Lonchura striata: one gene and its partners. The protein of the gene in region 1 purifies or fractionates together with the protein of each later gene. This does not show direct contact. Links are inferred from orthologs where the notes say so. Each region holds a gene or a part of one and is shown in the gene's direction. Other genes may lie near its edges.

The links.
Region 2: the proteins of ENG (region 1) and TGFBR1 purify together in Homo sapiens (affinity purification with western blotting; 5 studies listed by BioGRID and IntAct, with this or other methods). This does not show direct contact. The link is inferred for Lonchura striata from reciprocal best matches to the Homo sapiens genes ENG and TGFBR1.
Region 3: the proteins of ENG (region 1) and ACVRL1 purify together in Homo sapiens (affinity purification with western blotting; 3 studies listed by BioGRID and IntAct, with this or other methods). This does not show direct contact. The link is inferred for Lonchura striata from reciprocal best matches to the Homo sapiens genes ENG and ACVRL1.

Annotation. Positions count from the first base shown.
Region 1 is NC_134624.1:716,955-727,484, reverse strand, and holds the start of ENG (endoglin), read left to right. Parts: upstream 1-6,184; 5' UTR 6,185-6,261; coding exon 6,262-6,319; intron 6,320-10,375; coding exon 10,376-10,530. Other genes in the region: AK1 (adenylate kinase isoenzyme 1), read left to right, coding at 778-813, 1,925-2,088, 2,288-2,404, 2,932-3,123, 3,403-3,468. UniProt on the Homo sapiens protein: Vascular endothelium glycoprotein that plays an important role in the regulation of angiogenesis. Required for normal structure and integrity of adult vasculature. Regulates the migration of vascular endothelial cells.
Region 2 is NC_134603.1:84,463,209-84,473,709, forward strand, and holds the start of TGFBR1 (TGF-beta receptor type-1), read left to right. Parts: upstream 1-6,490; 5' UTR 6,491-6,576; coding exon 6,577-6,655; intron 6,656-10,501. UniProt on the Homo sapiens protein: Transmembrane serine/threonine kinase forming with the TGF-beta type II serine/threonine kinase receptor, TGFBR2, the non-promiscuous receptor for the TGF-beta cytokines TGFB1, TGFB2 and TGFB3.
Region 3 is NC_134629.1:6,227,353-6,237,793, reverse strand, and holds the start of ACVRL1 (activin receptor type-1-like), read left to right. Parts: upstream 1-5,324; 5' UTR 5,325-5,574; intron 5,575-10,441. UniProt on the Homo sapiens protein: Type I receptor for TGF-beta family ligands BMP9/GDF2 and BMP10 and important regulator of normal blood vessel development. On ligand binding, forms a receptor complex consisting of two type II and two type I transmembrane serine/threonine kinases.

The DNA of each region.
Region 1 (10,530 bases):
TCCTTGCCTCCCTCCCTTCTGTCCATCCCCCATGTCCCTCCAGCCCCCCCACATGCCCCACATCCCATTGGTCCCTGCCAGACACTTGGCTCCGTCCCCAGCTCTGGGGAGTGCTGGGTGCCAAGGAGTTGAAATTTCATCCAGCTGTAATCAGGAGATGGGAAAGTGGCCCCAGAGCAGCCCAACTTTATTTTTAGCTCTGCTTCCCCCTTCGGCATCACCCCCTGGCATCACCCCACACCACGGCTGGTGCACAGACTCCACAGGTGGTGAGAGCCCTGTGCCAGGGTGCTGGGCAGGGGACGGGCGCTCAGTGCCACTTGCACGTCGGCCACCAGTCCAGGGACTGATGCTGGGGTCCAGGGACTGCTGGGGTTGTGCCAGGTGCTCGAGGTGGCCGTGCCAAGCTGAGCCTGCCACGGCCCCAGTTAGCCCAGCGGGGTGAGAAGCCAGCCACAGGGATGGATGAGGCCAGTCCCTGCCTGCAGTGGAGCCATGGACAATGACCACCTCTGGGACACCACGTGGCACGGGAATTCCAGCCCCAGGCCAAGGTGCCATGGGGTCTTTGTGCTCAGACGTGGCCAGACATCCCAACCTGCCCAGGTGACCAGGACACACGTCTGCTTCCCTCTCCATCTTCCCCCCAGGACTCTCCTGGATCGGTCCCCTCTATCCCCAGGGATGCCTGCCCTGGATTTGGCACCCCCTGGGGACACCTCACTCCCTGATGGACCTTTTGGCTTTGGATAATTTTTTTTCCTTTCTTTTTTCCAGAAAAGCTCAAGCAGCACAAAATCATCTTTGTGGTGGGTAAGTCTGTGTCTGGGTCCTGTCACTGGTGGGGTCAGCCCAGGCCTTTTCCCTGTACCTCTAGGCTGGGGAAACAGGGCTGGAGGCTGAGACTGGGCTATTCCCAGGCACTGTGGGATGGCCGTGGCTCCAGCTTGGCTGCTCGAGTCCACGTGGGGTATGCTGGGACCAGGAGGGCACCTCTGGCCAGGCATGGGGTGGCAGCATTTGGGGTGATGTGACAGTAAACCCCTGGGAGGAAATGTGACAAAACCCTGGGTGGTGATGCCCTGGGTGCCATCAGGGTGTGGTGCCCATATGCCAATTCCCAGCAGCCCATGCCACTCCCAAGCATTTGGGAAACCTCAAGAGGAGCTCTGTCCATCCACTTGGTGCTGGGCTTGGGGACACCAAGTGACGTGTCACCGAGCTCTGGGGACTTGTGTGTGTCTGCGCTGCTGCTCCGTGTACCCCTCCCTCTCCTTACCCGTGGCTCGGTGTCAGAATCTGAGGTATTGATGATTCTGAAATTGTAGAAAGTCTCTGTCTTTCTGCCCCATTGCCAAAGAAGAAGCCATAATTGGTCTGTGCTGGTTCCCAGGTTTTTTATTCTGTTTATCTCTCACATATTCTGCTGCCCTGCCCAGCTCTGTCCTGCAGGGCAGCGTGTGGGGCTCTGCCCTCAGTGGGATGTGACAAACATTAAATACCAGAAACTCCCTGGGCTGGGTTTACAATAACGTGCCAATATCTGTCACCTACGTTGGACAGTGTGTCCCCAGCCTGAACCAACAGAAAAATGCCAACACCACAGTGAGATATGGAGGGCATGAAGAAGGAGAAAAAGGACAAGACACACCCAATTTCCTCCATCTTGTGCCCTTTGGACCCCTTATCTAGAATCCTAAAATTTTACTTTTGTACCCGTGCCACACTTAATTATTACTTATATCAAACACTCAGAGCTTGTAATTCATCCTGTAAGATTGAAAACTCTTTTCCATGGCCAGAGATCACAGGCAGTGTCTCTGGGGGCTCTGTCCAGGGGGGTTCCTGACCCCTGCCAGGGTCCCAGGGCAGCCAGAGGGAAGCCCTGGATTCCCACAGCTCAGGGCACACTCGTGCCTTGCAGGTGGCCCTGGCTCAGGGAAGGGGACACAGTGTGAGAAGATCGTGCAGAAGTATGGCTACACCCACCTCTCCACGGGGGACCTGCTGCGGGCAGAGGTCAGCTCGGGCTCGGAGCGGGGCAAGAAGCTGCAGGCCATCATGGAGAAGGGAGAGCTGGTGCCCCTGGTAAGTCCCTACCAGCACCAGCTGCCACATGGTGGGGTGTGGGGGTATCAGTGGGGCCACCACACTAATGGCTGGCACGTGGCTCAGGCATCTCTGGCCCTGCCGTCCCAGGGTGGGGTTTGCAGCGGGGACTGGGGATGCTGCCTGGGAGTCCTGTTGTCCCATACCAGCCGTGGCAGCTCTGTGCTCCCCGCTGCAGGACACGGTGCTGGACATGCTGCGGGATGCCATGGTGGCCAAAGCAGATGTGTCCAAGGGCTTCCTGATCGACGGATACCCCCGCGAGGTGAAACAGGGAGAGGAGTTTGAAAAGAAGGTGAGGAATGGTGCAGTGCTGTGCTATGCTGGGCCATGCCACACACCAGCTTAGCACAGGCACTCAATCCAGCAGCAGCCTGGGCTCCCCATCCCAGCAGAGATCACATCCCAGAAGGGTCCAAACTGGGCAGCAGGACCCCCTGCCTCGGGGACAGCCTGTGCCCAGAGCACAGTGGGAGGGACCAGGGTGTCCTCAGGCTGACAGAGCGTGTGACAACAGTGCTGACATGATGGTGATGGCAGAGAGCCAGGGTTTGGCTGCAGTGTCCCTTTGCCTTCCTCTGTGTGGCCCTGGAGGCCACTGGAACAGTGTCCTGGTGGCTCCCAGACCAAAGTGGTGGGAGGCAGGAGATGGTGTGGGAACATCCCTGTGTCCTGCTCACCCCCAGACCCCTGTGGAGGGAGGCAGAGGGTGGTGTGGGGACATCTGTGACTGACCCTCATGCTGACCACCACAATCCTGCCAAAGCAAACCAGAGCCACGCCAACTCAGTGTGCTGACAGCCACGTCCCCTCTGTCCACAGATCGCGCCCCCCACGCTGCTGCTCTACGTGGATGCGGGGAAGGACACAATGGTGAAACGCCTGCTGAAGCGAGGAGAGACCAGCGGGAGGGTGGATGACAACGAGGAGACCATCAAGAAGCGTTTGGAGACCTACTATAAGGCCACTGAGCCTGTCATTGCCTTCTACCAGAGCAGAGGCATCGTCCGCCAGGTAAGCGGGAATGCGGCTGAGGCCAGCCCCACAGCTTGGGGCTTGTGTCCCAGGGGAGGGGAAGTGATGGATGGGGATGATGAGGGAAGCAGGAAAACTCAATCCTGCCTAGTTTGGGGTGGGCCTGACCCCTCTCATTCCCGACACAACCCCCTCCAAGGATGGCTCACTTCTTTGTGGTCTCTTCACCCATGGCCAAAATGCATCCTTGGGAGAGTTCCAGTTGCTCTCGAGGGAGAGCCCTTGGGCAAGTCCCCCAGCTAACCCCTCTGTACCCAGCTCAACGCCGAGGGCTCTGTGGAGGAGGTTTTCCAGCAGGTCTGCACCCACCTCGACTGCCTGTAACCGAACCCCCAGCCCCAAATCCCCCCGGTGCACTCCAGCAGAGACAGCGGAAGCGGCTTTATCCTGTTTTCGTGGACGGAGCCGTGCGGAGGAAATTTCAAGGACATTGTGTTTGGCTCTTTCCCGTCTCTCCCCAGTAAAGTTCACTTTAATGAATCCAGACTTTATCTTTTTCTTCTGTCGCAGGAAATGAGTTTTTCTTTCCAGCGTTTTGGTTTTTTTTTTTTTTCTCTCCCTCTCTGTCCTCCCCCCAGCCCCTCTGGAGCTGATTAAGGGCAGGAAGTGGGTGTTTATCCCGCCGGGGCAGCGGGATGCTGCGCTCAGAGGAAGGGAGGGAGCATCCCAGCCACTCGCCCCGGCTTCCCAATCCGTGGCCTGGAGGGAGCCTGCGCCTGCATCCTCCAGCCAGTCCTGGCTGCCCTCGTTCTGTCCCTATTTCTGAACCCCCTTGTGCTCTGGGTGTGTCTCCGGACACACAGGCAGCTTCTGAGTCGTGTCCTGCACATGCGTCTCAGCACTCCCACTGCCTGCCAGCGGCTGGAGGCGACCGGATTCGGGATGGGGATTTCCACCACTTTCATGCCTTGGCATTTCCTTGTTTCTGTTGGCTGTCAGGGTTTTTTGGGGTACGCAGTGGCTGCACGGTGATGGTTTGTGGTGGCACAATGCCCTGGAGTGGGGTGTTCCCTGTCCTGCTGTGCCCGGACTCTCACAGCCTGGACACTCACTGCTCAGCCCCAACCCCAGGGGATAAGGAATATGCTGGGGACATACAGACGAGCCCAGCCACCAGGCTGGGTGTCCTCCTGGCTGGGTGCCCTCATGGTGGTGAGTCACAGGACCCCAACAGACATTTGGGTGGGGGTGCTGGTGTGGGGGATGTGGGGGCTCCCCAGCACCCACAGAACCACACAGGCACAGCACCATAGCAGAGGGGCTGCAGTGGAGCTTGGGGGTGGTTTCTACCCAGCCACAGTGAGGGCAGGAGGTAGCACAGCTCCAACCCCAACAGGGCCCCCCACCACTTACTTTTGGGCTGCCGGGAGCTGGGCACAGAGCCAGGGCGCTGGGAGGGCAGGAGGGGCGGCAGCGTTGGGGTCAGCCAAGGCCACGAGGCCAAGGAGTCAGAGTGGAGAAAGGAAGCCAGCAGGGAAAAAACAAAACTCTCCGAGACGAAAACCCAAACTCACCAGTCAGCCCGACGTCAGCCCCGTGCTCCGGGGCCACGAGCCGTGGGCAGAGCCTGGGGCACTGAGGGAAGGCAGGCGGGCAGGAAGGATGCAGCCATCCGGCCGGGGCTGGGACACTGCCAGGACAGCGATCCAGGGCTGGGGCCGGCCAGTGCTCGCCTCGTGCTGCTGGAGACGGGGGGCAGAGGGGTCGTGTGGTTTGGGACACCACAGCCTAAAACTGGGGAGTGGGGAGACACATCTCTCTTGTGCCTCCAGCCCTCTGTGGGTGTGCTGTGAGTGTGCCTCAGTTTCTCCAGGGCAGGGAGTGGGACAGGGACCCTGCCCTGCTCCCCAGTACGGCCCTGAGTGCTTGGTGTTGAGGTTTAGATGCTCTTTGGTTTGAAATCTCAAGGCCATCCCATATGCTGTGCAGGGGAAGATGCTGGGCCAAATGGGGTGCAGGGGGCTGTACATGTGGCCACCCCACCGCCACGGCCACCCTCTTGTCACACTGTGGCTGCCACCATCTCACTGTCCATCACTTGGTTGTTGTCCTGTGGCATCACCGCGGGGAGAAGGGTGCGAGGGACTCAGAGGATCCCGTGCTGGGTGCCAGTCCCCATCCCCGGGTGAGCACCCGTCCCCGCGGTCCCCAGGAGATGGCAGTGCTCTGTCATGGGAGATGGTTGCTGCTCACCCCGGCTCACCGACATCTCCGGGGACATCCTGGCTGCTGGGGACAGGCGTCGCTGACTTCCCTGGCTCGTTTCCATTCTGTCCCCATGCCCGTGAACCATGAGTCAAGATGAAAACCAGCCCTGGTGTCAGGGTCTGAGGACCTGCACCCACCCCCGGTGTGAGGGTCCCAGCCCCACTGATAGCTGTGTGAGGGCTCTCATCTCGGCCAGCAGAGGTGTGGGGAGGAACGGAGCAGGAGTGCAGAAGGGGGTCCCTGGTGCCCCTTCGGCAGTGCCCAGCTGTGACACCCTTGCCCTCACCAAGGCCCCCTTGTCGCAAGGGATCTCCTGACCCCAAGCCCACCTGCCAGGTAGGGGTGTCCGGGCAGCCCCATCTGTGGCCTGGCCAAGGGTCAGGCAAGGCAGCAGTAACGCTAAGGGGCATCCGGGGCCATGGGGCGGCCACCAGCCTGACACATGTGACCTTGCATGGGTGCTGGATGGGAGCAGTAGGGGCTGAATGTCGGGGGCAGCCCCTTCCCCATCGGCTGGGCAGCTCCCCATCCCTATCACTGGCAGCACCCCGGGAATATTTGGGTGGATGGACACCACCAGAATCCCTGTGTCCAACCCCTCCACTCACTACTGCCAGCCCTGGGAGGCCCTGGGGGCCCTACCCCGGGTACCAGCGCCCTGCCCAGGGCGCTTCCAGCGCGCCCCTCCGGAGGTGCAGCCCCGCACGGCGCTGTAGGGAAACTGAGGCACGGCGCCTCCGGGGGAGGGGGGGTCCATCCTCTCCGCCCCCCCCCGGCCCCGCCGGCCCGGCCCCAGCGCCGCCAGCGGCATTTCCTCCGCCGCGGACCCTCCTCCGAAGGGAGTCGGTTTCCTGCCGCTGCCGCCGCCCGCACTCGGCGCTGGCTCCCGGGGAGCGGCCGCAGGCGGACATGGGCCCCCGCTCCGTCCCGCTCCTGCCGCTGCTCCTGGCGCTGCTCGGCCGCCCGGGTGAGTGGGGACCGGGGGAACCGGGCACCGGGGATGAGACCCGCGGGATGCGACAGCGGGACGGGACCCCCGGGACGGGACAGGCGCCGCGGCGGGACCCGCCGGTGACTGCGGATCGGTGGCCGAAGGGGTCCCGGCTGTGCCCGCACAGGCAGAGATTGTCACCCCCGGGAACCCTCCGGGAGAGGAGGTTTTGGGGAGCAGCGTCCAGTGGGGAGGGATAAAGCCACCCCGATTCCCGGAACACACACAGCACAGCCCTGCCGCTCCCTGGGACCCCCGAAATCCCGGCTGCGTCACTGGGGCGTGGGAGGTGGTGAAGACGCCGTGACCGAGTCCTGGCCTAAACGGTGGCACACGGCGGGTCTGGGGTGGCTTTGGTCCCTGTCACCTCGGAGTATGGAGGGGTTGACCAGGAGATGGGGATGAGAAATGGGAGCAAACCCTTAAACCTCACATGGAATGTGGGGATGGAGCTGGGGGTGAGAGATGGGAAAAACCCTTTAAACCTCACATGGAATGTGGGGATGGAGCTGGGGGTGAGAGATGGGAAAAACCCTTTAAACCTCACATGGAATGTGGGGATGGAGCTGGGGGTGAGAGATGGGAAAAAACCCTTAAAGCCGCAAATGGGAGTTGGGGGCTTAGACACCTCTGGAGCAGTCAGAGCCACCCTGAGATCCCTACAAAGCCACATAGGGAATTTCAGGGAGGGATGCCAGTGCTGATGGAGCTGGGGGACGGGGAGCTGGGGGACTTGGGGACATAGCCTGCTGGCAGGGGGAAGGGAACAAGGGGACTGGGGAGGCAGCAGCCGCCCGGAGAGGCTGGGGCCAGCAGCACTGAGTGTCCCGGCTGGGTTGGTCCCTCCTGGTCACCTCGGGGGCCAGTGCTCATGGATGGTGCTGGGGTGGCCCCACTGCCAGGCTTGATACCCACTCTTACATCACAACCCTGACTGGTGGCTGTGCTTGTCCGGTGAGGCTGTGCCGTGGGGGCCGTGTCCCCTGTAGTTGTGCCATACAGTCTCCATCCTTGTAGATGCACAGTTAGTCCTGTGTCCTGTGTAACTGTGAGGCTCGGTGCCCATCCCATAGCTGTGCCACAGCCCCTGCCCTAGGGCAGTGCTGTGGTGTCCCTGTCCTATGTAGATGTGCAGTAAGGTCTGTGTCCTCTGTAGCTTTCTTGTACAGTCCCCATCCTATAACCGTGCCATATGCTCCACATCCTGTGCTGCTGTGGCACAGAGGCCTTGTCCTCCCTGTGTATGATGTATAGTCCCTATACCACACAGCTGTGCTGTCTGGTCCTCATCCTACACAGCTGTGCAATGTCACCTGTGTCCTGTGTAGCGGTGCCATGTGTCCATGACCTTTGTATTTGTCCCCTGTATGGCTGTGCCATACATTCCCTAACAGGGCTGTGCTATATGGGCTGAGTCCTACATAGCTGTGCCATATAGTCCCCATCCTGAATGTCTGTTTCTATGGTCCCTGTGCTATTTGACTGTGCTGTATGATCCCCATCCAACGTAGCTGTGGCACACAGTCCCTGTGCTGTGTAACGGAGCTGTACGGTCCCTATTGCATGTGTCTGTATGGTCCCTGTGCTGTGTCACCCTGCCACACAAACAGACCCTCTCTGTGGCCATACCACCCCTAGGGTATGCAGCTGTGCTATATGGACCCCATCCTGTGTGACCGTGCCATATTGTCACTGTCCTATGTAGCTGTGCCATGTGTTCCCATCCTGAGTGTCTGCGCTTTATGGTCCATGCCCTGCGTGGCTGTGACACGTGGTGCCCATCCTCCCTACCTGTGCTACTCACCACATCCTGTTCAGTTGCTGCTTCTTCCTCACAGGAACCTCTGGGGCTGGGAGCCCACAGTGGGTGCAGTGCCATGGAATTGGGATGCCCGCAGTGGGCACAGTGCTCTGGGACTGGGCTGTCCATGGTGGCTGCAGTGGTGTGGGACTGGGGTGCTTTTGGTGGGTGCAGTGTCAGGGTGTCTCACAGACACAGACAGCTTCCAGAGGTGGGGGATTTTGTGCCCCCTTGACAGGGGCCAGCACTGCTCCCCATGGGGTGCTGGGTCTCACCTCCCATCTGTGAGGAGAGGCTTCTTGGCACCTGTCTGACTCAGAGAGTGGCAGGAATGATGTGGCTTATGTCAAGCCTGAAGCCTGGACCCATGCACACCATCATCTGCATCCCAGTGCCACCTCAGCATGGTCCAACAGCCAGCAGGGGCTCAGAGGATGACAGTTCCCTCTCAGTGCAGGACCCATCCCCATTCCTGCCCTGGATCAGCTCATTACACAAGTGCTGAGGCAACACCACCAAATGCAAGGATGCCAAAGCGGTGCTGCCCATCCCATGGGCATCCTGCACTGCCAGAGCCACCCTTGCCCTGCATCCCACACCCCAGCTTTGTTCTCTGCTCCCAAAACCCAGGAATTTCTCCCCCAGCCCCTGACCCACACTGTGGGGAGCCACAGTGGGACCATCCCTGTGCCCTGATCCCAGTGGCACCAAACCAAGGGAGAATGCAGGTTGGAAAAACATCAAGTGGATTTTCTTTCTTTCTTCCTTTTATTTTTTTTTCCCTTTCCTGGAGTACAAAAATAACAGTGCCCTTATCTGATCGCCCCGGCGGCCCAGCTGAGCCCCCTTATCTGATCCTGACATAATGCTGGAGCCCGCTGCCTTCCCCAGGGACAGACAGTGCCCGACTGGCACCACTGCCCCGCATCCCCTCCGCTGGCATCCCTGCCCTGCCAGGGCGAGCCCAGCCGCGGCCCCCAGCCCTGCCTGACCTCGCAGGGCATGCGATGCCCGAGGAGCGAGGAGCTGCCCGGCCCCTGCCCAGCAGCGCCGGGGCCGCGCGGCCGTGCCCGGGGCCGTCGGGGCAGGGGTGGAAGGGAAGAGGGACGCAGCCTGTGGCGCCCAGATAAGCGGCTGTTTATCTTCCTCCCGATGCTGCCGGCCGCGCGGCCGCCGCGCCGGGGGGGAGGAAGCACCGGACAATAAATGGGCCCACGGCAGCGTCTCCGGGGGTCCGTGCCGTGACCCCGCCGCCGCCACAGCCCGGCCACCCCACCGGCGAGGCGCAGGTCAGGGACAACGTGAGAGGCACGACTTGGAAGGAACGGCCCTTTGCCGGGTGCTGTGTCCCAAAAACTCGATGACCTGGAGCATTGCACCCTCTAGCCCCAAGTCCCGGTGGGGCTGGCTGGATGGACCGGGAGTGCGGTCCAGCCACCTCCCGGTGCATTGGCTGGAGCCAGCAGGGATGGGAAAAGTTGGAGTGGGAAGGGATAGAACTCGGTGGCCATCTCCAAAGGAAACACAACATCCCAGGCACTGTCTCCCCAAAGTCCATGGAAACCCAGCTGTGACCAGGGGGGTCTGTCCTTCCCAGCCCCCTGGAATGGAGCACCCATGGATGCAGACGGTTCCTCGGGGCCAAGTTAAGGACAGCCCGGCCACAGCAGGGCTGCCTGAGGCGGAGGAAACTGTCGAGGCACGTGGGGATTGACAGGATCAGGCCTTCAAATGGCTGTTTGCGCTCAGGATTTCCCTTGGCAGCCGCCGGCCAGCCCCGCTCGCCGCACGCCGCCGGGGGCTTTGGGATGGGGCAGAGCTCACGCCCCAGCGCCCGCGGAGGATGAGCCTTACACCATTTCCATACCTGCGCTTCCCACTTTCCTGCGCCCGGGGGATGCGGGGGGGGCTTCCGCCACCGCCCCAGCCTTCGGGGCGGCCGGGTGCGAGTTTTGGCACGCAGCAGTGCCGAGCAGGGACAGCGGATTTTTCCAGCCCGGATCTAAGGGTCATTACCGTGATTGCGGAGCGGCTGGCGGCGGCGGACGGGCCCCGGGCGAACACGTAGCAGATGGTCCCGGGGGTGCCGGCGGGGCCGGGATGGGGGCCGAGGCTGGAGGGCAGTGCCGGCGCTGGCGGAGACATTCAGCCCCCTCCTGCACCGTGCTCCCTCGCCTTGTGTCACAAACATCCCCGCGGCACGGACTGACAGGCTCTTGTTTTCCGCCCAGACCCCGCGAGAGCCGAGGGCTGTGACCTGCAGCCGGTGACATCGGAGCGACCCATCACCCTCTCCTATGCCACCAGCACGGTGCCACGCGGCTGTGTCAGCAACAGCTCCATGGACACTGGCCATGAAGTCCATATCCTCAGCGTCAAGTGGTCC
Region 2 (10,501 bases), on another chromosome or scaffold:
TCCCTTTTAATAATGTCACCTGGAAATGTAGAAATAATCAAAGACTTGCGCAATCTCAAAATTACATATTCTTGGAGAATAGTTAGAAACTTAATAGCTGGTAAAGAATGAAGTTCTACAAATTATTTCCACCATTGTTCTCATCACTGCATAATTTGTCATTTTATTCAAATAAATATTTAGCCTATTTTTGTCTTCTTCAGTTTTTATTCCTGAGTAGGTACAAACTCTATTACTTAATTTAAAGGAAAAAACACCTTTTTACAACACATTACAAAAAAATTGCATACCATTTTCTTGGGACTGCTCAGGGTGCAGCACCTTTAGTGTGAACTCTAGATATTGATTGCAAATGAACAACTGGAAACTTACAGAAAACACTGCTTAGAGAGACTACAGCAACAGGATTTTGAAACAACCTTGTATAACCTGAACTGCGATAGAAAGTTTAATGCTATCACCTCAGGCAGCCTACAGCCACATGCACTGAAAAATGAGAGTGGATGGGAAATATGCATCAAGTCTAAAAAAACTGAAGCAAAGCAAACAGTTCCCATAGCATGTGATAGAAGAACCTCTGTTTTCTCTAATTTTCAGTTTGCAGGGTTAATAAATCAATGTCAGGAATTAAATATTATTTTATTAATTTTAATTAGTTAATTCATTAAATATTATTTTCTCATATCTTATTTTATTTTATTGAGTTTACACTCTACTGAACAAAATGTTGTTTTAACAACAAAGTAGAAGTTTTATTAAAAAACTTGATTTTTTTTTTTTTTTTTCCAGGATAACTGATATTTAATCCAAGTTGTGATCTAGATCCCCAAAACTAATTTTTAGGTCTTAGGTCTTAGCAGCTTGTCATCACCGTTCCCACTTCCTACTCTAGGAAGGTTCTTGTCTGCTATGAGCCTTTATTCCATGGAAGAAGAAATCAAGGTTGTCAAGCCCACAGGATGCCTGCCTGCTAATGGGTACACAGAGAATTACAGTAGGAAAACCTCATGATCTGTGCATTGCCAGAAACACATTAACTTTTGCTGGGTTACAAAAGGTGCTCTTTCCCCACTCTAGGCAAAACTGAGTCCAGTCTCTGGAGGAAAATTACTTCCCTTGAGCAGCAGAATGATATGCGTTATTACTTGCACCATCAAACTGGAATGAGTAGCATCCAAGCCCGCAAAACCTGTACCACACCAAGAAAAGAAATATACTTTCTTAATTAGAGGCAAGCTACTTTAACACAAGTATCCTTTGCTGTAGTTGTAGGTGAGATGCCCTTGCCACTTCAGAGTTAGCAGAGTTAGAGAGTTACTTCAGCAATTAAGGCCTTCAAACAGATAATGACAAACAGTCTCAAGTAATTTCCAGACATGCTTGATGTCAGCCTTTTTACTTCTGGCAGCCACTCCCTAAGCTATTTAGTCTTCCTAGTCACTGCTGTGTTTAGCAGCATGTCTTGGACTATATGCATCTTCCCTACTTTCAGCATAAATCAGATCTTCTTACAGATCTCTCTGTAAGGAGACTTACAGTCAACACTGCTCTCTTTGAGTAGATCATACCTGATTTCAAGTGAAGCTGCATCAAGACACATGTAATAAACAAGCTTGACAGCTGATGGACTCTACAAGCTAGAATGAAACACCAAGTTTAAGAGGTTTCATTCTTGTCACTGAGATCTGCTTAAAGAACTTAGGACACTATGCCATGCCCACAAATCCATTATCTGGGAGATAAGGTGGGTGTTAGCTGCAGGGATCAAGCAGCTGCATCCCGATGTGGTGCATTGCTGGGCTGCCCAGCACGTAAGCCTGGGATATAAAGTGTTCCACAGTGAATTAAAAGCAGAAAGGGCTTCATACACCTTAAACTGTAACTAGCCTTCAGTTAAAGGAGATAATTAACTGGGTGCTCAATAACTAAGATCTCACAGTATTTAGTTCTGGAAACATTGATGAGTCAAATCAGGCAATGTTTGAAAAGGTTATGAAATGACTAGTTCTGAGTGTTTTATAAAGCAGTGACTTCAAAAAAGTGATTTCTTTTGCTTGTCTCTGATTTAGAAAGATCACAGGCCTTTGTGAAACTTCTGGTTTGTGTACATCCAGAAACTGCACACTAATAAGCACTTTGATACTTTCTGTCCCAGTTTGAGTAAAACTGTTTCCAAAAATCAAGGGCTAGGTGGGGAGGGCAATGTTGGGGTTTTTTCAGTAACTTACTCTATTTTGGTAAATGTTACACATTCAGTACTTTTCCTCTTGCTAAGTTCCTTGGTCAAAGTAATTTGTAATTATCATGATGCACTGAATAGTTCTTCCAAACAAACAAATGTAACGTTTAGCTACTTATTAGGGATAGAAAGCTGTAAAAATTTAGTTTTTACAGCACCTTCATTTTTATTGCTTTAGGACTAATTGTGCATACACTGTTTGTGAGAGAAAGATTATTTATTAGCCTGATACAGTACCTTCTAAACCAAAAGACAAATAAAACTTTTAGTCATCACCATTAATATTATTTCCTATCACAATTCCATATATTTTTACTTTAAGACCTAAGGGAAAAAATATTTATTGGTTCCCATTTTTGGAACTAAATCATTATATTCATATTATAAATCTTTCTCAAAGACTAACCTATAGAACAAATTGGTTTGTATAATTGTCTCTCTATCCACTTGCTCCTTTCCAAAATGTCTTTTATTTCAATGCCCTACATAGTTTTTTTCTTTGTGGAGTACAGAGTTCCAGTAGTACAGAGTTCCATTTGAAACATTCATGCAGTTGCAATTATTTTGTTTTCCATCTTCCAGAAGAGAAAATAAAACCATAAGAAGTGTTCGTACACTGACAATAATTCTTGCAGAAAATAAAAGCAGCCCTAGGTAAAGATTAATTATTTCATTCTCTCTCCCTGTGGGTGCTGCGCATGTGTATGACTGTCACATTCTAGTACAGAAGAAAGAAATTAATCAGTGTTTAAATTGCAGATATTCGCTGTGTAATAACCTGATTTACTCAGTCTAAAAACCAATCTGATGATTTAAACAAATCTCATAAATCCAGATAGTTTGGTTTTTCTGTGTCACCTTGCTTTGTGTTCTACCTTGCATTAAAAAAAATTATTATTATTGCTGCATATTTCTATAATTGGAATATAATTATGTTATGAAATCATTCATTTATTAGAAAAATGAGGCTAGGAAAAATGGGGGGGTTGCCTGTTCTTTTAAATTTATGTCCACTGATGACATTATTTCCATCCTCAGTAAGCACTGAGGATTGCAGTTCGTAAGAAGTTCTTTTAAGCGTTCCTTTACAGGAAATACTGAAAAATTATATTTAATTCATCCAGTTAAAATGTCGTAACCATACAATGGTCATGCATTGTTTTCTATTGAACTTGGCAGATTTGTACTGTGAAATAGTTTTTTCATGCTTTGGCAGGAAAAGGCCAAGCAATTATTGCAATTTTGAAGAATCTGTGATCATAGAACAGTTATTTTCTTCTTAAACAAAATGTCACTTTATAGGAAAGCATATATTGAAACTGTTTCACTGATTGTGTCATTTTCTGACTTAGCCCCACTTGACTAACTAGCATGTTTAGAGGATGAAAATCGTAAGATGCAAGCATCAAGATGTCCTCACTACCTTTGGACTGGCATTCAATTTGTTTGCAGACATAGGGAGGAACCAATGAATTAAATATTTTCAGGTCATCATTTTTATATTGTCGTTTTTATTTAATTGCTCTATTTTTATAGCAAAAACAAAGGTAATTTTGTTGTTACCAAACAGGGCATGTGACATGAATTACTTTGCATCTCAACCAGTGAATCCAAGTACCTCTCCTATAGCCCCCCCTAAAGAAGCCAGGTACTGCCCAGATGAGCAAAGCTCCTGCTGCACCAAAAGCAGTTATGAAGCTCATAAGAAGGAAGGGGAAGACCTAAATATTGGAAAAGGGGAACTTACAGCAGGAGTAACAGCAGAAGAAAGATGATGGAAAAACACCAGGATGAATCTTACAGTGATAAGGGGGAGCTAACAGGGGAAGGTACCAACAAGAACAAGACCCAAATGTCTACCAGAGCCCATTGAATATCAAGAGTCTGTATCATAATCAGAAGTTCTTGGACCCCGCCTTAATCAAGACCAGAAGAGGCAGTCCTAAGAACCTGGATATGTGGAAAAATAGCGAGAAACGGGGAGATTCTGGACATGCAGAACCCATTTTGGTAGCTATGCTTCTGTCCACATTTACTTTGGCTTTTACATCTAGCATACATAAGATCAGAGAGAGGTACCCAGGCTTCAGGACAGGGGATGACATAATTTTAGGTATTTCTTCTGTAGTGGTCTTTACCTCATGAGTGATATGGAAGAAGAGTGAAGCCTGGCAAAAAAAAACTCCTTTGTAGTTGGCACTATTGGACCTGAATCCATCTTAGCTGGTGAGTTGATACCAGCAAGTTATTGATTTATTTTAATTTTTCTGTGTCTGTCAGCCAAATGTCACTCAGGATGTTAATTCAAAATGTTCCACATAGAACTGAACTTGGAGCCCTGAAAAGAAATCCTTCAGCATGCTCTGCTTACTGGTCTCTGCCTTCCTTCAGAGATATAGTCTGTGACCCATCCCTAAACCCAGGAGATCTGCAATGGGGAAATGAATAGTAGATTTTTTTCCCCTGAGCATAATTTTCTTAATTTATAGTTTCAATGCTCAATATGAATTTAAAAGATGTCTCAGGATTTGAGAAATTTAACTGAGTGCTTCAGTGTTTCTTTCTGACGCTAATACATTTAGTTGAGGATCAGCCCTCTACATATTTCTATGTATGGATAACTAAGAACATGTTTGCCTGGTGTTGTCAGCTTCAGTAGTTCATTACAGCATGAATCTATATGAAATCCAGACATTTGGTTCAACATCTGACATTAAGTGCATGTCATTAAAATGTTATTTTGTGAGAGAAAATATAACTAGGATATGTTTATGCATGACACTGATCATTGTTCAAAGAGAAACAGAAAGAGAATTAATTAATAAATATTTACCTCACTTTGAACTATGACATCAAAATTCTTACCCAGGTGAAGTGTACTGTAGGAGAAACAAGACTTTTTTATAAAAGCAGTATTGGCTGAACAACTGCTAGTAAAATGGAGGCAGCAGATCAGTGTGCCGTGACAGTGAATGTGGTCCTGGAGAGTGGGAAGGGTGCTGTCCTGAGCACTGCAAGCTGGGAAGGCACCATTTGGCAAAGACAGGGCACGGGGCTTGCAAGAGCAACTGCAAGTAATGTGGAAGAACACCTGTGATCTTTGTGACTTTGCCTATGACGGGAGGGTCACACTCCATGCAAAATAAGCAACAAAAGGAGTATAAAGGCATATGCTGAGAGATTCTGAACTGATTCAGGGTCTGGACACAACAGTCAGATATTTGAGCGGGGGGGGCGAGGGGGGGGGGAGGGGGCGGATTCCCAGAGCAATCAGGTAACTGCTGGGAGAATCGTTACCTGATCCCAAGAGGGAAGAAGAGAGCCTCTCCTCCTACTCTGCCACCCATGCAAAGCTAATAAAGTGGTGGATAGAAGTAACAACCTCAGTCACGGTCATTTTCCTCACGAGGTACATCCTAGTTGCCCCAGGATTTAAGATTCAAGGTGTACCTCCGACGGGTATTCGGACTGCACGAGTCTGCGATTCCCAGTTAACTCCTGAAGTTAAGCGCAGGCTGTGCAATAAGCTGGCAGCTACACCTGTCGCCTGGCACCGCTCTTCCCTCGCACGGGGACAAAGCCTGTGAGCTGAGCGCTGAGACTGCCGCTGAGGCGAGGGAAAACCCTCCGCTGCGGGACGGCGGAGCGGCCGCGGGGCTGCCGCGGGAGCGCCGGGCGGTCCCGTGCCGCGGGCAAGGAGCGGGAGCTGCCCCTGCGCTGCGGCCCCGCCGCGACCGCCCGGGGCTCCGCACGCTCCGCCTGCCCACTCGCAGCGCCTCCCAGGAGGAGCAATTCCTCCGCTCCCGCTGCTTTCCTCCTCTCCGGAGGCAACTCGAGGGCTGCCCACAGGCCCCCGCACCTGCCTTCCATCGGAGCCGATGCTCCCGGGACTCCGCGCAGTGCAGCGCTGCCAGCGCTCCCTCCTCGCTGCTGGCAGCGCCTCAGCCGCTAACCCGAGCGCTCTCGCAGCACCCGGACGCAGGGAAACTCCAAGCCCGCTCGAGCCCCTTCGGGAGCGGCATCGAGGGGACAGAGCGGCCGCTCTGCCGTTCTCACCCGCCGGGAGGGGGTGCCACCGCCCCGCCCCGCGCCGCCGCCGCGCAGGTCGCGCCCCGCTCCCGCCGCCTGTTGTTGTCGGGGCTGCCCGCGGCCGCCGCGGGGCGGGGCCGGGGCGCAGCGACCAATCAGGCGGCGCCGCCGCCGCCGCGTCGGCGGCATTCGCGGCCGGAGCGGGCCGGGAGGGCGCACGCAGCGCGGGCGCCGCGCCGGTCCCTGGGCGGGCGGAGCGGGCGCGCGTCGCGAGGCGGATCCCGGCTCCGGGGAGTCGCGGCCAGGACATGGCAGCGGCTACTCGGCGGCGTCCCTGGGCCCTGCTGTGCCTGGCTGCGGCCTCGCTGCTCTGCCCCGCGGTGGGCGGTGAGTGCGCAGGGGGGCGCGGGAGCGGAGAGAGGCGGCGGGCGCGGCGGTGGTGTCCGGAGCGGCGTGTGGGGGTGCGTGGGGAGATCGGCGGGGGGCGGCGGATCCCCGCCGGTTCCTTTCAACAACATGGCGGAGGGGCCGGCTGGGGCGGAGTCACCTTCCCCCCACCCCCGGTGTCCGAGCCCGGCGGGGACCGCTCGGCCCTTTGTTGGCCGAGAGCGGCGGCGGCTCCGCGGGAGGGGCGGCGGGAAGGGTCCCCTCGGGCCCCGCCGCTACTTCCTCGGCCCGGCTGAGCAGCGCTTCGGGCGATGTCTGCCCGCGTTAACTTTCTATCCTGATGTCCGCCCGGGGGGGTGCGTGTGGCCTTGGCCCGCGAAGGCAGCTGAGGCTCCTGGAGCTGCCGGAGCTCCCCTGTCTATCTGTCCGCCAGCTCCTGGGAGCTCCCGGGCGGGGTGCCCGGCAGCGGCGGGAGCGGCAGCCCCCGGGCCGCCGCAGGGCGCTCGTAGTGGTGCCCGGGAGGAGCGGCGGGGCAGAGACGTGTTGAATGTCCCACGTCGCGGAGGTGACAGGGGGCTGCCCCCGCTGTGCTGCGCGCTGCAGCACCGTGTGCTGCTGTCACGGTGCTGGGGGGACAGGCGAACTTTTGGTCCAGCACGCCCTCGCCTGTGTGCTCGGTGCGGGTCGAGCCGTGTGGAAATGAAATCTTCGGGTGAATGTTGTACAGCGAAACGGTTGTGTTCTCCAGTCTCCTGTACCTGTGCTTTTTTGCGAGAGATTTGATATCAGACTATGCTGTTGCAGAGCTAGTGCAAGAAACATTGGGAGTGCTTGACAGCATTCATAAATGGAAGATTTGGGTGGTTTTCTTTTTTCGTTTTGTTTTTTTTTTTTTTTTTTTGAATGTGCAGGTTGTTCTGCGGTTAGCAGTTTGGGACATATGGCCTAATGGATTGTATATTGCTTTGGATTTTAAAAAGGAAGTGGAGAAGCACCACAACTTTTTCGGTTACAGCTTTAAGAAATCCCTCAGTCTGGATCTATACCATGCTGTATATAATTCAATCTAAAATGGTAGTCATGGTGAAAAAAAAGCTACTTAAAGCATCACTTGCTGTATTAACATGTAGTGTTAATCACACATATTCTTACTGAAGGCGATGCAAGATCTCTGATGTGGAAACACTGAAATAAGCTTAAGTTACCCATGGGTTGTTCTTATGTTCTTGAAAAGGTGCGGCAGGCTTTAATAATTTAAAGCTTTCTTATGTAACACATTCAATTTAGTAGTTGAAGGAAATTTTAGTTCAATTTGAGCTTTGAACTTTTTCCCTTTTAATGCCTCCCATCAATCCAACAGTTTTCCCTTAATCTGAAGCATGAAATTAAGGTCTAAAAGCTTTGTGTGAAAACAAGGCAACAGACTTCCATACAAAACCTTATGGGTGGAAGTGATGGTGTGCTACCTTTTGTTTAATAAAAGATAAATCCTCTCTGTTCAATGGAATTGGAAGAAATCCAGGATTCATGATCCATAGCTCATCCAGAGGCCCTGGTATGGGTGAGGCAGGTAATTTGCCTGAACATTATGGTCTAAGTTGATAGAGTAGTTCAAGGTATGATTTGGGTACTGGTACTTCTTACTGTGAGTTGACAGAAGTTGGGCAATTTCTGGTTGCCTCTGCTGGGGCTGTTCTGCAATGTGCTGGTGTTACTGTGTGGATGAGTCATCTTGTGATACGGTTTATATGGAGGTCAGGTATGTAATGAATCCCAGCAGCTAGCTGAACAGTTGAACAGCCTTAATTTTTAAGACAGAGTCTGAAAATAGGCTTTCTGGTTTTCACTGTGTACGCCATAGTCTTTAGTCTTCTGAAGTTCTGGGGAGTCACCACTTGAAAATTCTTGAATTCAGACAATTGCTTCTAACTGCAAATAAAGATAACAATCTGATTAATATGGTGGAATAAATTTAAAAGTACAAATAAAGATCCTTCTGTTGTCATAATGCTTGTAAAATTATGATCTGGGCTTTTAAATTTAGCTTTCTTCTGTTAGTTTGGGTTTTTTTAAAGCTTATTCTTCTACCAGAGAAGAAACAAATTGTTACTGTATTATGCTCTAAGAGGCATGAACATATATCTCTGGGTAGTGTTTTTGATAGATGTCAAGAAAACTAAAAGTGCCATTTGGCTCCTACATTGCACAGAATATAATATCACTTTTGTGAAGTTGGGATTTTACACAAGATTTTATCGCTATTTACAAGTTGTGGGTACTTAATAGTAATTTATCTGTTTTCTTGAGTGCATCACTTTGTTTGACAAGACCTGCTGTTTGCAAGAAGGAAGATGGATGAAATCTATGTGAAAGTTTTCCTGAAAACTTGATACCCGGTGCTGTTACAACAGTGAAACTTTTAATTATTGCCTTTGTGAGAAGAATGTGTTAGTGGAGGCCATAAAGTATTGTGATTTTAAAAACTGTACCTATGTCCCAGATATTTTAAGATTGAAACCTTTTTGTATCTTGAGCTAAAAGAGTTCAGAGATGAGTCAGGTGTATTGTTTGAGGCGATTGTCTGAATTAGACTCAGAAGCTGACATTTGCACTGTTATGTATTATTCTTTTTTTCCTTTGGCAAGTGTTATTGGACAGGGAAAGAGCTACCAGTGAGCATGAAACCCTTTTGCTCATATCCCTAAAAATGTGGTTTTGTCTCTTGCACATAATAGCCTTGCTCCTTTATTCCCTCGAAACTCTGCATCTTATGGAACCAAGAATTGTGATTGCTCTTCTGATGAAGTTCTGCTTTCTGGTGACGTTTTGGCTTCAAAATTTGTAATATTCATGTAGGAACAGTGGTAATGTCTTCAAGAGAAGTGTCTTTTTTAGCAAAATGTTGCTTTTGGGTGCTGTGACTATTTGTCTTTTTTAAATTTGTAAAGCAAAAATATAGTATTAAATAAAGTATTAACAATGTGAAATTGTTAATTGTTTGCAGTAAGATGTGAGTTTGAGGTTTTTTTAGAGCACTTCACAAGTTTTAACTTCTGTACTGCTCCTTGTTAGCATCCTTTGGAAGACAATGTCTCAGCTTAAAATTTCCATCTATAAATTCTTTGGCTGAAGGTGGTGTTCTGTGCTAAACTGTCTGGTTGAAGAAGTGATGCAGGATGTAAACAAATGTTACATAGTGATTCATAGGGTTTTATGTAACTAAAAAAGTTTTTCAGTAATTTTCTTTCTTCAGATAGACAGCATATACAAAAAAACCTGTTTCAGTAGGTAACAGTCTGGTTTTGATTCAGATTTGTAAAAGTTAAGTGGTTAGAGTGTACTTAATTCTCTGTTCACATTTTGTATGTAGTGTTAATATCTCGGCCAGCTAATTTTAAGTCTTGTCAAGCTGCATAATTTCAGGGTTTCATTCATGCAGCCAGCTTGCTTTACTCTCACTGGGGGCTTCCAGACTGCAACATTCATGCAAGAGAGACTTGGTAAAGGAAAGGCAAAACTGTCAAACTCGGAGTTTGAGCAACTACACAAGTAATGGTATTCAACACAAGATGTTAATCTTGTGATATGAGAAATATGCTGTTGATAACTTGTACGATGTGATAATGTCATAATGCACACACCCTCACTTTCACAACAGCATTGTCTCACTGATTCTTTTAGGGTAGTCAGTCTCAAAAAGCAGAAATTACTATGTAGAATGGCAGTGACAAAATGTAATGCACAAGGAACTACATTGCTGTGTTGACCCAATTTCTGCTCTTGGCTACATCCCTGATTGTATGATTTCCAGGGCATTTGTTTATCTGTTTGTATTGTCATTTCCCC
Region 3 (10,441 bases), on another chromosome or scaffold:
CCAAAAACACGCCCGGCCCTTAACAGGGAGAGACCCTGCCTCAGAGAAGAACCGAGCTGTACTGGGGAGACACACCCAGCCAACGTGTATGAGTTAAACAGAATTTTCTCTCAGAACTGGGACTTTCAGCACCCCCCAGGTGCAACTCGACTGCCACATACACACAGAAGGCTTCGTGAGGTGCTCTGGGGTTGGCCAGTCCTGCTCCAAGCCCTGCTGATGCCCCTGTGGTTTTAAGGATGTCCTCAAGGAGGTGGTAGAACCTCACAGTGTTTGCCCCTGGAGCTCAATTTCTGAAGTTTTCCTTGGGAAACGCACCCACTTCCTACTTAACAAGGCAGTCCCCTCTCCCTGCTCTCGGGAAGAGCTGCCCACGGGAACCACCTTCCTCTCCTGATTGCCACGCTCTGCCCTTAAAACGCTGTGTTACTGAGGCCAGCTATTTCCAGGCCAAGACTGTCCATGCAGGGACAGTGTCCCTTCTCTTCAGGGTCAGGGGAAAAGGGCAGAAGCACCTACAGAGCTTCAATGCCCCTCTTGAGCACAAAGCACCGTGAATCTGCACCTCCTGCTGCTTGCAGGGAAGATAATAAAATGCCTCAAGGTAAAAAATGATAAATGGTAAAAAATTATTACAAGAGGGTAGAAATGATGCCGCTTTCACTCCACTGCTAGAAATGACACATAAAACATAAAAAAAACCCTGTACCTGTTCCATTTTCAGACTGAAACAACAGCATATTCCTGGCTGCTCATGCAGCAGGGACAACAGCACTGAAGGGAAATGTTTGGATAATCACGTCTTCATTTAAAGAGAACCCAATTCCTTCATCTAAGCCATCACTGCCCTCCATCAGAACAGCCAGCACATCCACGACATCTAATAAGTGAAGGAAAAAATGTAAGCAGAGGATCCAGACTGACTGGGAAAACAACAGAGGTAGAATGCAACATTCCAGGAACACAAGGTAGCTTTTTAGTCACAAAAATTTAAAAAAAAAAAAAAAAAAAAAAAAAACTAAAGAAAAAAAAAACAAAAAAACCCAAAAAACCCCAAAGGCACATTTGCCAGTCAATACAATGTTAGGGGCAGCACAAAAATCACAGCTGTTCTTCACTCTGCCTTTCAAAGCTGCTGTCCAGCACAGGTTGCCCAGAGAAGCTGTGGCTGCCCCCGGATCCCTGGAAGTGTCCAAGGCCAGGCTGGACAGGGCTTGGAGCACCCTGGCATGGTGGAAGGTGTCCCTGCCCATGGCAGGGGTGGAACGGGACGAGCTTTAAAAAAAGGTGCCTTCCCATCCAAACCCTTCTGGGATTCCACGATTCTGTGAGCAGCCCCAGGCAGAAGGGCTCAATTTCCATTGTGGTCCGGAAATGCTGCTGCAAGAGCACAAACAGATTTCAAATACTGTTCAAGTGGCACAACCACATCAAAAATTACGTCTGGGGGTAAAGCGGCAACTCTGCAATTCCAGCCTCTGATACCGAGGACACATGGAGGGCTGAATCCGGGGGGAGTTCGGGGTCCGAGTCAGGGTCGTCCTCATGAGCCACCAGCCTGGGGACCCAAAAATCGGGGGGAACCCCAAATTGGGGGGTGACACAAAATTGGGGGGGTCCTGGGGGGCTCTGGAAGGTCTTTGCAGCATCCCAGGAGGAATTTTGGGGTGTCAGGGGGTTTTTGGGGAGTCGTGAAGGGAATTTAGGGGGTCTCAGGGAATTTTTGGGGGGTCCCAGGAGGAATTTTGGGGACCCTGATGGGAATTTTGGGGGTCCCAGGGGGGGGTTGAGGTCCTGGAGGGAATTTTGGGGGGGTCTCAGGCAGTTTTTGGGGTCCCAGGAGGAATTTCAGGGGTCCTAAAGGGAAATTTGGCGGTCCCAGGAGGTGTTTTGGGGTCCTGAAGGGAATTTTGGGCCTCCTGGGAGGGTTTTGGAGTCCTGGGGAGAATTTTGGGGGTCTCAGGGGGTTTTTGGGAGAAATTTTGGGGGTCCCGAGTAGAATTTAGGGGGTCCTGGGGGAGGTTTTGGGGTTCTGAAGGGAATTTTGGGGTCTCAAGGAGTTTTGGGAGGTCCCAGAAGGAATTTTGGGGACCCTGATGGGAATTTTGGGGCTCCCAGGGGGGGTTTTGGGGTCCTGAAGGGAATTTTGGGAGTCCTGGGGGGGTTGGAGTCCTGGGGAGAATTTTGGGGGTCTCAGGGGGTTTTTGGGAGGAATTTCGGGGGTCCTGAGTAGAATTTTGGGGGTCCTGGGGGGGGTTTGGTGTCCCTCCCCTACACAGCCCTTTGTCTAACCCTTAAACAATGGGGTGCCAGATTTTCATTTCCAAGATAATTAACAGTCTTTCCCCTGGCAAACAGGAATTGTGCTTCCAAAATTGCAAACAGTGAATGATTTCTCGCAGACCACAGCTGCCAACACCAGGAACTCTCACTGCCTTTGGAGAGCAGCACGCCTCCAGTGAACACACATCAACACACAGGGAGGGTGAGGTTGGTTTTACACGGAAAAAGGGCAGAGGTCGGGTCACAAGGCCGGTGGCCCCAAGTGACTTTCTACATCTTTTTGTTCTGAATGGCACAGGATTTATCCAGGAGCAAAACTGCTGCCAGCAAGAATTCTGCCTGTCCTGGAAGAGACAAGCACCTCCTCGACATGGACATCAGGAAGTGAAGAGGGTGAGCCATGTTTCACACAGAATAGGGCCAGCGACAGAGTCCAAGAGCCAGGGGCCATGAAAGAAGGGCCGCCCCCTGAAAATCTGAATGCAGAAGGATGTCTTGTGGACCCAAGCTGCCCTCATGTCGATGAGGGGTTGCCTTGAAGATCCCAAGCACAACTCGCAAACTGACTTCAGGAACCTGGACTGGTGAGTTTTCTTTCCCAGGGAAAATGGCCAAAGGATGTGCCCAGGGGCCCCTGGCCCCGACTGCAAAGAATCCTTATATCGAAGGATGGACCCCACACCGAAGTTGTCCCCACCTCAAACTTGTGCTGCCCTGATAGACCCAAGGGAGCCCTACAAACTGACATCAGGAACCTGGACTGGTGAGTTTTCTTTCCCACGGAAAAGGGCCAAAGGATGTGCCCAGGCTCCGGGAGGGTTTGGGAGGATTTGGGAGGCTTCGGGAGCGTTTGGGAGGATTTGGGATGCTCCAGGTGGCTCCGGGCGGCTCCAGAAGGGTTTGGGATGGTCTGGGAGGGTTTGGGAGGCTCCGGGAGGGTTTGGGAGGTTCCTCCATCTTGTTCCCTTTGGACCCCTAATCTAGAACCCTAAAATTTTACTTTTGCACACTTAATTATTACTTATATCAAGCCTTCAGAGTTTGTAACTACAGTGAAACATGGAGGGCATGAAGAAGAAAAAGGACAAAACACATCCAATTTCCTCAATCTTGTCCCCTTTGAACCCCTTATCTAGAATACTAAAATTTTACTTTTGCACCTGTGCCATGCTTAATTATCACTTCTATCAAACCCTCAGAGCTGGTAATTCATGCTGTGAGATTGAAAACTCTTTTCCATGGACAGAGATCACAGCCAGTGTCTCTGGGGGCTCTGTCCAAGGGGGTTCCTGAGCCCTGCCAGGGTGCCAGGGCAGCCAGGGACTTTCTGTGCCCTCCCAGGTGAGCAGGGCACAGGAAAAGGTTTCCAAAATTCATTGCTAGCACCGAGCTTGCGGAACATCACTTTTCTGCCCAAACCCGGCCGGCAGAAAGGCAGGGATGGGTTTTGGGATGGCGCGGGGGGAGAATCGGGGGGGGGCTGAGATTGGGGGGGCTGAAAGAACAACCCTGAAAGTGGCAGAACGGGAAGCGGCGCTTCCGCCGCCCAGGGCCCCGCGGGCTCCGCGGGAGGGAAGTGCCCGGCCCCAGCCGTGGGAACGGCGCCGCCAGCGAGGTCCCAGTGCCGGGCACGGGGCAGCGGGGACAGCGGGGACGTGCCAGTGCAGGGCTCCCGTGGGCACCGTGCCCTGCTCTGTGCCCTGCTCCATGCCCTGCTCCATGCCCACCGTGCCCTGCTCCGTGTCCTGCTCCGTGCCCTGCTCTGTGGCCACTGTGCCCTGCTCCATGCCCTGCTCCATGCCCACCGTGCCCTGCTCTGTGCCTTTCTCCGTGCCCACTGTGCCCTGCTCCATTCCCTGTTCCATGCCCTGCTCCGAGTCCACTGTGCCCTGCTCTGTGCCCACCATTCCCTGCTCCGTTCCCTGCTCCGTGCCCTGCTCCATGCCCTGCTCCATGCCCAGCGTGCCCTGCTCCGTGCCTTCCTCTGTGCCCACTGTGCCCTGCCCCGTGCGCTGCTCCATGCCCACCGTGCCCTGCTCCATGCCCTGCTCCGTGCCCACCGCACCCTGCTCTGTGCCCTGTTCCATTCCCTGTTCTGTGCCCACCGTGTCCTGCTCCATGCCCTGCTCTGAGCCAAACGTGCCCTGATCCAAGCCCACTGTGCCCTGCTCCGGGCCCACCATGCCCACCATGCCCTGCTCCGTGCCCTGTTCCATGCCCACCGTGCCTTTCTCCGTGCCCTGTTCCATGCCCACCGTGCCTCCAGGTGCTGACCATCAGGACTCCAGGTGTTCACCATCAGGACTCCAGGTGTTGATCGTTGGGACTCCAGGTGCTGACCATCAGGTGCTGATCATCTTGGGTAAACGACCCAAGATGGATCTCATGGAAATGCTCAGACAGATCCATGTGAATGCAGCATTCCCGTAAATCTCACCAGGGATTCACCTACTCCGGACACTGAATTATTCCTCCTCATCACCAAAAAAAAAGAAAATCTTATTAATAAGCTATGGACTCTGAATCGAAGAAAAGACTGCTTGCTGAAATCTTGGCCTCAGGCGGAATTTTCCCTATAAAAACCGAATTTTCCCTATAAAAACCACTTGTGCCAGGATGGAGGTGTGTGGGCATGGGGGAAAACCTCTGCTGAGGCTGACTCCGTGTTGCACACCCAGGGTCAATCCCCGGGCTTGGCTCTGTCTTTTTCCATGGCTGGCTAGATAGAATTTGACCACTAATAAAATAATTTTTTATTTTTAATCTGTCTGAATCAAATCTCATTCATAACACCACGAAAGCCGGGAAATCGGGTGGGAAAGCGCTGGGGGGGAAGGACGGGGAGGGAGCAACAGTCCAGGGAGGGCGAGCAGGATGGAGCTGGGGCCCGGTGAGCGGGAGGAAGGGAGGCCGGTGGTGGCTGTGTGCTCAGCAATAGGAAATGCTTTATTAGCTGGGAGTGGTGGAGACAAGCCAGGCAGGAAGAGGCAGTAATAAGAAACATTTTTTTTTTTGGACTTCTCCCACATCCAGAGAGTAGAGCAGCTGCCGAGCGGCCGTGTTGGAGCCCCTCAGCAGGGGAAGGGTGACAATCCCTCCCCCAGCGGGACAGGCGCGGCCGTGGGAGCCCCAGGGTGGCAGGATGGGTGCTGGGAGTGGAGCAGATCCATGAAAATCCTCCAAGTTGGGGCTGAGGAGCAAAACTTCCCCGGCTGAGGTGGATCCAGGAGCGGGAGAGCCCCGCCAGGGCCGGGAGGTGCCGTGGGATCCTGCAGGACCTGGATGCTGGAGGTGAGCGGGGAAGAGCTTCGTGCTCCTGGGGTCTGGGGGTGCACCCAGCTCAGGGCTTCCTTCCCTCCTAATTTGTTAGAAATGAAAATTTATTCAGCCAAATTAAAAAAAATAAGAGTAGTTTTATTTGTGGTCAAATTTTATTTAGCCAGCTATGAATAAAACCACGGTGCCGAGCTCGGGGATCGACCCTGGGTGTGCGACAAGGAGTCAGCCTCAGGAGAAGTTTTCCCCTGATTCTCACACACCTCCATCCTGGCACAAGTGGTTTTTATGGGGAAAATTCGGTTTTTATAGGGAAAATTCCGTCTGAGGCCAAGATTTCGGCAATCAGTCTTTTCTTTTATTTAGAGTCATGTTAATAAGATTTTCTCATTTGGAGATGAGGGAGAATAATTCAGTGTCCAGGAGTTGTCGAATCCCGTGATGAAATTTATGGGAAGGCTGCATTCACATGGATCTGTCTGAGGATTTCCATGAGATCCATCCTGGGTCCATGAGATCCATCCCAAGTCCATGAGATCCATCTCAGGTCTGTGATATCCATCCCAGGTCCATGAGATCCATCCCAGGTCCATGAGATCCATCCCAGGTCCATGATATCCATCCCAGGTCCATGAGATCCATCTCAGGTCCATGAGATCCATCCCGGGTCCATGGGGAATTTGGGTGTATTTTGAAAAGGACTGGGGAAAAAACAGGGAAGGTTGACAGCTCTGAGGGCTGCACTGGGCACCAGGGGCACAGAAAGTGGCACCTCCTGCTAATAAAAGGGTTTTTAAATCGTGGGGATTTAGGGTTAAAAGGAAAAATCATCTTAGCAGGTCCTGGAAAAATCAATTCCTTAAGCACATGGAGAACTCAGACTCGCTAGACCTGCACTGTGTAGCTAGGACATGATAATTGATATAATTGTTAGATGTGATGATTGTCTAGTAATTAAATATAATTATTGTTTAATCATGAGAAACTGTGGTCAGTGAGCTAAGAAAGATGACGAGAAACTCGTGTCAGTGTATACAATAGAACAATATAAGTTTAATAATTAATATGTGAGTTACGTAAGGATAGAATATAAAATATCAGCTCGAAATGGGTGTCGGAGTCAGATTTGGGTCTGTACCCCTGATTCCCAGACCTCTCAATATAAGCACTGCAAATAAGGATATCCTGTGATTATTTGTGTTCCTAAACAATGTAAATTTACTAATTAATATGCAAATGAATATCTAAGTTATATAAGGATAAAATATAAAATATGTTTAGCTTGAAAGCCGTGTCGGAGGCAGATAATGATATTCTGTGATTCTGTGTGCTCCTGAACGCTGACATGTCGAGCAGGGGTTGCCACTTTCCTGAGTGGGTTTGCCACTCTCCTGAGTGGGTTTGCTGCTCTCCTGAGCAGGTTTTGCCACTCTAATGAGTGGATTTGCCACTTTCCTCAGTGGGTTTTGCCACTTTCCTGAGTGGGTTTGCTGCTCTCCTGAGTGGATTTGCCACTCTAATGAGTGGATTTGCCACTCTCTTGAGTGGGTTTGCCACTCTCCTGAGTGGGTTTGCCACTCTCCTCAGTGGGTTTTGCTGCTCTCCTGAGTGGGTTTTGCTGCTCTCTTTATGTGCTGCACCTCCGTGGAGTGGAAATGCCTCTCAGTGAGAGGCTGGTGGGGTGGGCTGGAGGGCGAGCACAGCCTTTGCTGCCTCTGTGACCCCCCTGCAGCCGCAGAGAGGGCAAGGAAACCTCCAGCTGTGCCCAAAACCAGGCTCGGGGACCTGGCCAAGCTCCGGGCAGCTCTGCCCTGGCATCCCTGCCTGGCACCGGCGGTGGCACGAGGGGCTGGGCTGCTGTGAGAACCTTGGGTTTGGTTTGGGGTCTGGTGTGGTGGAAAAGTCTCTCCTCTAATCCGTGCATCCAAAGAAAAATTCTGCAGCCTTTTGTTGTTGGGTCTCAAGACAGTTTATTGCGAGTTCTCTAAAAGATTTTCATCTCTGGCTGCTGTGGTTTGCTCAGCAGCTCAGGCAGAGGCACACACAAACTCCTGTCACCCTCTCTGTCTGCTGTCTTCTTCTTCTCTCCCCCCACCCAGGGCTGCTGCTAGCTTTTATATGATATATTACGTATTACATGTTTATAGTTTTCCCCCAATACCTACTACCTGTGTTACAAAGTGCTTTTCTACTCTAATCTGTGAGTGCCAACATCACCAAGAACATGGAGGCAAGGAAGAAGAAGGAGGAAGAACAGGATCAGCCCACTTTCTTTCATCTTAGAACTTCTGACCCCCATGTATAAAATAACAAGCCCCCTGTACAGGTACTAAAACCCTCTTGTACAATACTAAAACAATTTTTCCCTCTGTTTTGTAACTACTTTTACTATGCTATCTAACCTTTTATGACTGCTTGTTCCACCTTCAAAGTTGGTAACTCATTCCATGGCTCAAACTCAAAATCTCAGCTGTTTCCAGCTGCCTGCCAGGGTCTAAAATGCTTCTGAGCAAGGCCTGGAACTTCTGAAAATGTCTGAGGGACATTCGGAGTTCCCACAGGCTGCCCTGAAAAGGCAGCACAGGGAACTGAGCCCTGAGCCACATCCCGTGGCTGAAGCCCCTGTCAGCAGCAGAACCTGCAGGGGAGGAGGAAGAGCTGGGGTTGAGGAGCCCGGCCAGGCTGCCCTGGTCAGAGCAGGGACCCCTGAGCCTCCCTGCACACCCCAGAGCTGTGCCCAGCCACCCTTCCCTGGGCTCCCTTGGTTTTCTGCTCTATTTTCCCTTTGCTTTTCCCTCCAGGGGTTTGATGGGGAAATTCCCCTTCCCTGGGGTTTGCTCCAGAGCCTTCCCTGCACTCCTTTTCTGCTCTATTTTCCTTTTGCTTTTCCCTGCAGGGGTTTGATGAGGAAATTCCCCTTCCCCGGGTTTGCTCCAGACCCTTCCCTGCACTCCTTTGGTTTTCTGCTCTATTTTCCCTCCAGGGGTTTGATGAGGAAATTCTCCTTCCCTGGGGTTTGCTCCAGACTCTTCCCTGCACTCCTTTTCTGCTCTATTTTCCCTTTGCTTTTCCCTCCAGAGTTTTGATGAGGAAATTCCCCTTCCCCAGGGTTTGCTCCAGACCCTTCCCTGCTCTCATAACAACCACAACCCACGGGATATTTCGGATATTTCGTTACACAGCAGAGTTTTGGGTGAGGCCCTGCTTGCTTTGTGTTTCATGGCAAATATCCTGCAGCTGTCTAACGGTTCAGGATTTTGGGGAAGTGGCTCCAGGGAAGGAATTCACCACCTGGGAGCCTCAGCTTCCCTTTCCAATCATCCTGCAGCTCTCAGGACTGCAAGAAGCGTGGTGCTGGTGCTCAGCAATCAGCAGCCCAGCTCGGAGAGGGTTGAGTTTTAAGATAAAGAGAAATTTTTAAGATCAAGCAGATCCTAGGGGAGTTGGGATTTTAAAACAAAGCTGATCCTGCCCCAGCCAGGGTCAGATGGATCAGCCTGGCATCACTCCTCCACCGGGCACCAAGGTCCTGCCCTCCATCCCCAGTGACCCCAGGATCTGATCACTGCTTCCTCCCCTCCAGCCACAACCCAGTGAGTTATTTTGGGGAGGAAAAACCCGATTTGCAGCGCGGCTGGAGCCTGCCGGGGTCAGCCACGTCCCCGGGCTTGCGTGACTACGCTTCCCCATCAAGGCCAGAATCTAAACAATCTTGATTCCTGTCCCAGCAGCGCTGGGCTGGGCTCTTCAATTGCAGGAAACTGAGTTTTTGGCATGTTTGTGTCGGGAACACGAAGAATGAGCCCAGGAGGGGCCGGGGCAGCGAGGCGGGGGGCAGCGAGGGGGGGATCGCCATGTTTGCCTTGGCAGAAACGTCTCTTTCACAAGGAGGAGAAAAAAAAAAAAAAAAAAAGAAAAAAATAGGAAGATTAAAAATAGCCAAACTTCCCCCAAAGGCTCAGCGAGGAATTTTTGGCTGTCCCAGCACCTCTGTTTGTGTCGCTGATAAGCTCCACGCAAAAGTACCCCCGTGACTGAGCCCCTGCCCGTGCTGTGGGGGTTTTGGGCTCCGTGCCACGCTCAGGGCTTCCCAAATCTGGGCTCCCCAAAAATTCTGTGGTATCAGCAGGGCTGCCAAGCCCACAGGGGTTGTGTTTTTAGGGAGCAGGAGCCCTGGGAACAGTGGGAAGCGCCGTTGGAGGGATCGCTGTGTTATGTAGAGTGGATATAATTCACACCATTTCTAATATGATTTATGTGATATTGAATATTTGTTGGAGTATACATGTTTGTATTAGGATTTCCCCCCCACCACCACCCTCGCAGGTGACACGGGGTGTATTTTAGAAACTGATTTACAAGTAAGAAGGTGCAGCTCACCAGGAGATGGGCCATAGGAAATCCCAGGTGCTGATCATGAATAAACGACCCAAGATGGATCTCATGGAAATCCTCAGACAGATCCATGTGAATGCAGCGTTCCATCAAGGGATTCAACAAACTCCAGACACTGAATTGTTCTCCCTCATCACCAAAAAAAAGAGTCTTATTAACATATCGACTCTGAATAGAAGAAAAGACTGATTGCTGAAATCTTGGCCTCAGGCAGAATTTTCCCTATAAAAACCACTGGAGGTGTGTGGGCATAGAGAAAAACCTCTGCTGAGGCTGACTTCTGGTGCTGACCCTGGGCTCGGCTCTGTTCTTTCCTTATGGCTGGCTAGATAGAATTTGATTGCAAAAAAAATATTTTATTTTTTCATATGAATTTGGCCGGACACATTTCCATTTATAACAACTGGGAGAAAGGAAGGAGCTTGGACATGGCAAAGGCCGGGTCCCAGCACATCCCTGAGCGCTGCGGGGCCACGAGTGGCACCCC